Linked DNA regions of Bombyx mori. The protein of the gene in region 1 interacts with the protein of each later gene in a pairwise test. Links are inferred from orthologs where the notes say so. Each region holds a gene or a part of one and is shown in the gene's direction. Other genes may lie near its edges. The genes, in order: Ck2b and RING-box protein 2.

Region 1 (4,576 bases):
GTAGGTACCACCACCCCGCCTATTTCTGCCGTGAAGCAGTAATGCGTTTCGGCTTGAAGGGTGGGGCAGCCGTTGTCACTATACTGAGACCTTAGAACTTATATCTTAAGGTGGGTGGCGCATTTACGTTGTCGATGTCTATGGGCTCCAGTAACCACTTAACACCAGGTGGGCTGTAAGCACGTCCACCCATCTAAAAAAAAAAAACTAACACTACGCGATCGGCCACATTTCGTTCGTCAGAAAATACGTGACGTCTGCTGGCCCTAGGATCTTACTCTACACACTCGTCCTCGACCTGTCTCGTGGTGTTTCGACGACCGTGTACAGCTGGCGTTTTCCTCATATTGAAACGCATTTTTTTTTCCTACCTAAGCGGATAGCCTTGATAGGCTATTTCAGCGTAACTATAATTAGTAGGTGAGCTCATGGGGATCAAACCTGACGACGTTGCTAACACGAACCCTAGCAAGAGCCGTGCTTCGCAAAATCTACCACCGGATCGGAAACGCGACCCACTGAGAAGATCCGGCGAGAAACTCAGTAGGCTGTGTCTGTGGGTTAACTTACTCGAGCCCTTCGTCGCAAGTGACGGGTTCGACGAGAACGATGACCGGTGAAATGCATGACATTCACGGCAGAATAAACACGGTACAGCTCGTTCTCTGCAGGTGGACGATACAAGCATAGATAATATACTAATTTAAGACCTCAAGCAGCACCTGCACAGCTATGTCGAGGTTGATAACAATACTATTACCCAGTTGACCATTCCAGCGGAGCGCATTTAATTAAGTATGTTCCATTTTTTTATTATTGTAGCACTGCTATAGAATTGTTATCCCCGAATTTGAACTTTTGGAATAATCATGTACCGAAAATAAATAGTCGCACGGTGGAAACGGATTCTTTCCTACACAGACGTCACTATTAAATGGTAGCCTACGACGAAACAAAACGCTAGGAAAGTTTTATTCTTCATTAAAATTTATTACAATATTAATATTTAACATAGGAGTTTAACAGTAACACATTACTGGAATTTTTACTAGAACCTCAGTGATTACTTAAGTGCAGCTCTTTTGTGCCATTTCTGCAACGTCTACAAGTTAGTTTTAAACTGTCACAAATATTAAACTGTTACATACCTCCATTAATATCAAACATCAATAAATAAAATATTGCAGTTCACGGGATTCGGTCCTTTTACACTTCTATGAAAAAAGGTCATACACCACGAAATTTTCATATTACTTAATCATATAGCAGCTTTTACTTACTATATAGTATATAGATGTGAAACACCGACCATTCGAGGAAAAAATTTGACTGTGGACATGAAAATATAGAGATTAATATTTTTCTCAGATCATAGACTAGAGCATCGACAAAATCATTCTATTCATATTCCGTACGCACACACTGAAATTTGCAATTTCTCTCTCCCTCTTTCCAAGAGGTGTATCCTCCCGTCAAGCGTGGCTAATCAAGGCACGAAAAGGTGAGGTTTGTCGTCATTTTATCTCAATATTCCATGATTACTGCGAAAAAAAACACATTAAATCTTTGCCAAATTCGTTAATTTACTGTGAAATTGTGAAAAACAGCTTTGAAGACATAAAATAACAGGTGATAACATAGGAATGCATAAAATTTGTTGTAACAGCAACGTGTGGCGGGTCTGAAGTTTTGATTGTATTTATGTGATTCTTTCGTCCCACATACCTAATTTAATATGATTGTTTTATTAGAAAAATGAGCAGCTCCGAGGAGGTATCCTGGATCGCTTGGTTTTGCACGCTTCGAGGCAATGAGTTTTTCTGTGAGGTGAGTCTCGACTATTCGATCGCTGTAATAAAATGTTACCTTATTGATCGTCATAATATTATATCTTGTGCAGGTTGACGAAGACTACATAAATGATAAATTTAATCTAACCGGCTTAAATGAGCAAGTTCCACATTATAGAGAGGCGCTGGACATGATTCTGGATCTGGAGCCAGGTGATCAGTTAACAATAATTTTCCTTCTCAACTTAATTGTAAAGTACTATTGAAAATCAAATATAAAATGAAAGTTGCAGACATTTTGTTGCATGCCATTATTTAAATAGATTTCTCTAAAACAAAGAACTGTATGTTTCTACATGATTCTCATTTATGAAATTCTGCATTCATCAGAATCATCATAAATGAGAATGTTGTATTGTAAATGTTCATTAAATCTAAATGTTTCAGATGATGACATTGAAGACAATCCAAATGAATCTGATCTGGTGGAACAAGCATCGGAGATACTATATGGATTGATACATGCCCGGTACATATTGACCAATAGGTGAGTTGCATTACATTGTATGTTAATTATTGTCTTTAATACTTTTAATGTAGTATGATAAAACAAATTATAAAAAAAATTAAGTGCATCAATGATAAATAATAGTAATGAGTACTCAAAAGGGGTCTTTACTAAATATTTAAATATTTTTTTTTATATCCCAAGATAATAACTTAACTTAAGCTACACTACATTTCCAATGCCACAGTCATATAACCGACTAGGGTTATTGTTGTCCCCACACAACGTGGTCTCGCCTTGTCGTGGCGGTGGGGCTTAAGCGTGCACCCCGATACCGTGGAGCAGCGTTGTCTGCACAGGGGTGGCGTGAACTAAGAAGACTGCACACCGTGTTCCCTTTTCCCACCTTTGCTAAGCAAAGGGTGCGTGAAGAGCGAAGAGGGCTCCCTTCTGGAGCCTCTTGTATGCTAGGCCATGTCCCCGGCGGTTCTCTGGCTGTTAAAGGGGAAGGCCCTCCAGAGGGGGGTACCGGTACGCCGGCGTGGCCACAACGTGGTCAGACGTGTGGGTCTGTCAGTAATGGTAGACCCACGTGGATGAGAAGTGAACCGGAGGGCACTCCCTTCCGGTCGCTGGTCGTCATGTCCCCGGCTGCCTCTTGGTGGCTACAGGGGAAGGCCCTCCAGAGGGGGGTACCGGTTTACCGGCGTGGCTTCGTAGAAGCATACCGTAATCCCTACCGAGTAGGAGGCGGGGGCCGCTGCCTAGCAGGGGCCGCGAGGATGCGAACCTCTATAAAAAATGCCCTAATCTTAAGCTTGTGACGTGTCCGGTGATGAGATGAGTGGCTGGAGGGAGTCCAGTCGTGAGGACCGTCCCAGGGGACCGACCCCTGGTTAAATAAAAAGGAACAAATATAATGATGGCAAACTTAAAACAAAAATTACCCCAGGAGGGTACCACCTTAGGTGGAGAATCCCTCCGTGCTTTCACCTCGGTGGGAGCACGCTGCCCCGCGTATTCTGGGGGGGGCAAAGAATGCCATGATGAAGGGGGCTGTGCGACGGGCAGCGGAAAACCCGTCGAACCGAGGTGTGCCAGCGCTGGCTCGACGCGTTCTGCGCTCGTCAGCGACGGCGAAACAGTTGATCCGAAAGGGACAGCCGCCAAGAAGATCAGGCGGAAGAGGAAATCCTGGCGAGTTTCCTCTCGTGAGGGGGTAGGGGAGCCAGCATCGTCCTCTGGTGCGGATGCCCCGCCGGAGAAAGTGCTGGTAGTCTCCGATGCGGCATCTGCTGCAGAGGAGATGCCGCCCCCTAAAGGAAGACCCGCCCGTAGAAGGGGCGCGCCGTCACCGGCGCCATCATCAGTGTCGATGTCTGTCGCCTCACTGGACGGGCAGACGACGGAGGAGGAAGAGGGTGGCCTTCAGGACCCTGCCTTGGTCATAGACAGGGCCATGAAGACCATCAAAACCTATGCGGCCAACGGCACCAAGACCAAAGCCGCTGGCCGTAAACTGCGAGAAGTGGTCTCGCAAGTCTCGAAGGTTCTGCCTTCGGTTGCTTCTGCCAATGACCAGGTAGTGCAGCTGAGGGCGGAGAATTCGAGGCTTCGAGCACAGCTTCAAGCACAGCAGCAGCCCAATGATGGCGCAGCGACGCCTTGGGTCGCTGGAGCCCCTCGAGGTCCCCGTCCCCCGGCGCTGACTGGCGACCGATGGCCTGTGCTGCCGCCACCGCGTGTGGCACAGCAGAGGCCGCGTCTCCCGTCGCCGCGCTCTAGGGAGACGACCGCTGCCGAGCGACAGCAAGCACTCGCGGGGCCACGGATGTTGGCTCCGCTACAACCAACAAACTTCAGCCTGGAAGAGGTCATCAGCCGCACCATCCAGGCTGTAATAGAAAGGCTGGGCGGCAGGTTGGCGGCTCTCGAGGCGAAAGTCCCTACCTCGGCTGACGCTAGGCGGCCGGCGGTGTCGGGTGCTTTGGCCGCTCGTCCTGCTCCCGTACGGGCTCCAGTCACCAGGTCGGGCCCGGGACGGGATAGAACCAAGCGAGGGGGTCGCGCTAACGCGAAGCCCTCACTACAAGCACCCCAGTCCCGCCCGCTGCCTCCGCCCCCGTCAGATATGGATGAGGGGTGGAACGTGGTGGCCCGGCGGGGTACCAAAAAGGCCCCACCGGCAGCTCCTCAAACGAGTAGAGCGCCGGTGGCCATGGTGGCTCAGGGTGCACCCCAACAGGGTCGAGCGCCTGTAGCCGCCAAGAAAAACAAG
Region 2 (4,555 bases), on another chromosome or scaffold:
ACTTGTAAATGTAATTGTGGTACCAAATCGTGCGGGCTCACAAATTCGTTCTTGCACCAGTAAATGCCAGTAGACGATCGCTTTAGAAATAGTCTAAAAACGCTGTTGCCACGGGAAAAGGATGGTATTATTCGAGATGCCTTTAAAAATTCTTTGACTTCCAGACGCAACACAACAATAGTAGGACTTGATCCAAGCGCAATAACTTGTGAGAATTTGGCTTCCACCGGAAATATTGAAATAAGGCTGCAGAATGCTTGCGACAGTTTTTGGACCATAGGATCATGTCCACCACTACACATTTCCGTACAATCAGAAACTGGTGGTGTTGATGCCACAAGCGCGATTTGCACAGGTATGATTTACATCCAAAATTATATGGGTATTTTACTAATATTAATAATAGTTATGTCACTTTTTAATTGAGTACCTAGTAAGTATTGACTAATAAGAGATTCATTCAAATTATATGTTTTTTCCTCTTACACCTTTTTTAACAAATTTCACATAAAGAAATGGTCATTCCTAATGGACTGTTTTTTAATTCTAGATGCTTCGGTATGCAGATTCCCATACAACATTAGATATCAAGTCCAAATTGAAGACCTGGGGTGTTTTAGTGGAGCATCAAGTCTAGGAGCCAGCCTCGCAATTATTCTGACTTCTTTGTATCTCGCAATATTCTAACTGCGGGTATTAAATTTGGAGAAGCGTTATTTTTTCCTACCGATAGTAATAGTACCAACCTACTTTTAACACAAAACAAATCTATAAGTTATCGTTCATTTTGAATATCGTATTTTGTTTCATACACGTGTAGTTTAAGATTTCCAATTTACAATAAGATTGTACAAAAAGCGTGGCGGAGCCTATTGAGTATAAAACATTAAATATTATAATATATACATATTATAAAAACCAGATATAACAGGGTTTATTGTACTTATTTTATACAAAATATAGTTTCCATATATAATACATTAAGTATAAACGTAGACTTTAAGCAATTTTCGTGTTTTTTTATAAATAAAATCTACTGTAACAAATAGCCTTTGTATTATTTTTTATTCTATATATGTTATTAGTTCTGAGTTATTTGGTAGGTGAGCTCGCGGGGCTCAACTTGAGTGTGCTAACACTGACCGTAGCAAGAACTATGCTTCGCAGAATCTACCACCGGAACCGAAGTACAAACACATCACTAAATCAATGGCCCCATTCATGAAACCGGAAGGCATTACCTACTACTTCGTCATAGATAATGCACTTATTATGTTTATTACTTCGTTAGAGAAATAGGCAGGGTGAAATTCCACAAGACGATCTGGGTCGTTTTCAAATTTGAGGCCAAACTATCGTAAAGCTATCGTATCGTAAACCAAGTATTGTATTAATGTTATCTTATAACATTGTGTCGTAATATGAAAAATTATATGAAGCGAAATGAGACATTAATCGATTGGAATTAATTTCCATCTTCTTTTTCATCGTTCTCTCACCGCTGAGGATCGCGACCACATGTGATTTTCATCCACAGTGTTTGATCATGGGTGGCATGGACCGCATGATATAGACTACCACCAACCAGATCTGACCATCTGGCTGGCGTTCTGCCTACGACGCGCAAAAAAAAGAAGGTATTGCGATTTAGACTATTTATTTATCAAATTTGATCTAACGCTTTTTAAACCTTTTTATTTTTAATTAAGCACGGTCATCCGGCCCCAATTTAGGATTCCCTGTGTTACGGGTACCAGAGACTACTAACATACTTATATACGTTCAAATATATACATATGTATATAGATAATAAACACCCAAACAAAGAGCAAACAAACTGTTCATCACGCAATGTTTGCTCGATGTGGGAATCTAACACATAACCCTCGGCGCAACAATCAAGGCCGCTAGGTACTGTACCTCCGAGTCAGTCCTAAACAGTCCAATATGTCATGCAGTTCAACTGACGCACAGGGTACATCTGTAAAATACGTTTACGGTTGCTGTTACACTAATGTTATGAATTAACCCACCAACGCCATCTAGTTTCTTTTTGTTAACTTTAAGCCAATATTCCCCGGATTAAAAAACTCATGGGATGATTATTCATTCATTAATTGCGTGGATGTAATTCAGAGTTTATACGAACATTACGTCGAAGATTACTCTTTAAATTAAATCTTTATCAGTATAGGCTATTTCCTTTTACCGCAACAATTAGAAAAGTCAGTCTGTCAAAGCTGTCACTGCCACTTCAAAATCTCACCTGATTATGTTTTTAAAAATAGTAAACAAGTCGAGCATTGTAAATGTACGCATTTAATTTTCAATAGTTACCTTAAATATTTACCATAAACATTAAAACGCATACATTATGTCCGGTGAAGACTGTGATGGTATGGACCGTGGGGATAACGATGGTCCAAAATCCGATAAAATGTTCACATTGAAAAAATGGAATGCTGTTGCAATGTGGAGTTGGGATGTTGAATGTGATACTTGCGCTATTTGCCGCGTGCAAGTAATGGGTAAGTTTTTAATTATTTATGTTGTTTATGAATCAATTCATAGATATTCATCAAAGTGATAGTGAGTCAAATTTATTTAACAAATTAATTGCTTGGACAAGATGACAGTTATTTTCCAGATTAGAATATATAGAACTATTAAAGAAAATATTACTACCCTACTATAATCATATTACAAGTAATATTTAGTGTGCTGTGCCGATCATAATTAGAACTAGATTTTGAGCACTAAGTATGTTTTCTTAAAAGTATTTTATTTTTATTTTAAGTTAAGATGAATGTTGCCAATTAGCATTGAGAGTCATTACTTTTTTTAAAATGATTACATTATTTAGGGATAGAATATAATTACTAATATATTAAACAAAACAGTAGTAATATTGTTCTATCAATGTTATATATTTGGATTTTCAAAATTAAAAATGTTGTGTGCGTGTGAATTATTCTCAAACTATTTAATTACGCTTTAAATTTAAGGCCATAATTAAGGCATTTTAGTTTAAATTTCATTATATTACATTGAAATAATCCTGTTTATTAATCCATCAATCTGTTAAAGAATTGTAAAGAATACTGACTTAAACATAAATATTATTTTGCCGTAGTAAAAGCAGAATCGATTGATCATACTTTCTTTAATTCTAATAATTCTCTCTTAATACAACATAATATAACATAATAACACCTAGGTCCTGGGTCATGTCCTGGTTCTGGGTGGGCTATATACTTTTGAACATTACCAATATGTCTCCTCTTAACTTGAACTGTTTACTAACTTTCATGAATGGAAACATAGTTACACTTACAATTCATATCAATATGTGTGCTTGTCAAATTAAACAAATAAATAATAATAGTCATTGGACCGACAAATCAATATGTTTGAAAGCTGTACAATATAGATTCCATGTGGTCTGGCCCCCCTTGTTTCGTAAAAATAATAGTTAACTATTGTTTTCTTAGTTAGTTCTAAAATTTGAAATTGCAGGTACATATAACTCTATTCATAGGCACAATTCGATTAAAAGAGATTAGTACAGTGCCTTCAATGTAATGATTCTGTGAATTGTAATGGTTCGAATTATAATTTAAGGATGTGACTCTCTTTCCATTAAGTGAAATTTATTCTTTAGATCTTACCATTTATTTTCATATTAAAGTTTAAAAAAAACATTTTTTATTACAACTAATATAAGTAACTATTTTTTTTTTTTTTTATTGCTTAGATGTGTGGACGAGCTCACAGCCCACCTGATGTTAAGTGGTTACTGGAGCCCATAGACATCTACAACGTAGATGCGCCACACACCTTGAGATATAGTTCTAAGGTCTCAGTATAGTCACAACGGCTGCCCCACCCTTCAAACCGAAACGCATTACTGCTTCACGGCAGAAATAGGCGGGGCGGTGGTACCTACCCGTGCGGACTCACAAGAGGTCCTACCACCAAACTAAATAAGTAACTTATGATTTTAACTTTACGGCATAGATTAAACTCTGTTATAAGATTGCCAAAAAGCTTAGTATTTTACATGAAGTAGTGTATGATACAAACTACAAAATAAAATCATTATAAATAGTTACTAAATGTAATAATTTCCCAATAAAAACTACTAAAATACTTTGGCATTCATGTCATAAATTATAATCCTCGTAAAGTCTACCTACCAATAGAACCAGTTACAACAACTAAGTATGATACCATTGTACTATTAGATATAAGATTTTTTTATAGAAATCTTTTTCTACACAACGTTTTTACTGCCTAAAAATTGTGAAAAGAATATAGTAAAAGTTATTAATTGCTACTTTAAAGCTAATTTTATTCAATTAATAAATGCTTAAAACATCTTCTTAGCATCCGTTTGGCAAAGGCTTAATGTTTGCTATCGAGCTTAGTCGACGAGTTCTGGGTTTCTCTTCTCTACCGGTTATTTTATTTTCAATTTGATCAAGGCTTTTGCCTCTCGTTTCTGGTACGCAAACAATAACAAAGAATAAGCCTACAAAACAAATACTCCCGAAGA

The links.
Region 2: the proteins of Ck2b (region 1) and RING-box protein 2 interact in a two-hybrid assay, tested with the Homo sapiens proteins (2 studies listed by BioGRID). The link is inferred for Bombyx mori from reciprocal best matches to the Homo sapiens genes CSNK2B and RNF7.

Annotation. Positions count from the first base shown.
Region 1 is NC_085121.1:1,778,028-1,782,603, reverse strand, and holds the start of Ck2b (casein kinase 2 beta subunit), read left to right. Parts: upstream 1-1,465; 5' UTR 1,466-1,501; exon of another isoform or gene 1,502-1,629; intron 1,630-1,751; exon of another isoform or gene 1,752-1,752; 5' UTR 1,753-1,755; coding exon 1,756-1,827; intron 1,828-1,900; coding exon 1,901-2,003; intron 2,004-2,237; coding exon 2,238-2,337; intron 2,338-4,576. UniProt on the Homo sapiens protein: Regulatory subunit of casein kinase II/CK2.
Region 2 is NC_085111.1:9,083,669-9,088,223, forward strand, and holds the start of RING-box protein 2, read left to right. Parts: upstream 1-1,645; 5' UTR 1,646-2,374; coding exon 2,375-2,528; intron 2,529-3,146; exon of another isoform or gene 3,147-4,382; coding exon of another isoform or gene 4,383-4,555. Other genes in the region: uncharacterized protein LOC101738136, read left to right, coding at 165-355, 551-687; facilitated trehalose transporter Tret1, read right to left, coding at 4,383-4,555. UniProt on the Homo sapiens protein: Catalytic component of multiple cullin-5-RING E3 ubiquitin-protein ligase complexes (ECS complexes), which mediate the ubiquitination and subsequent proteasomal degradation of target proteins.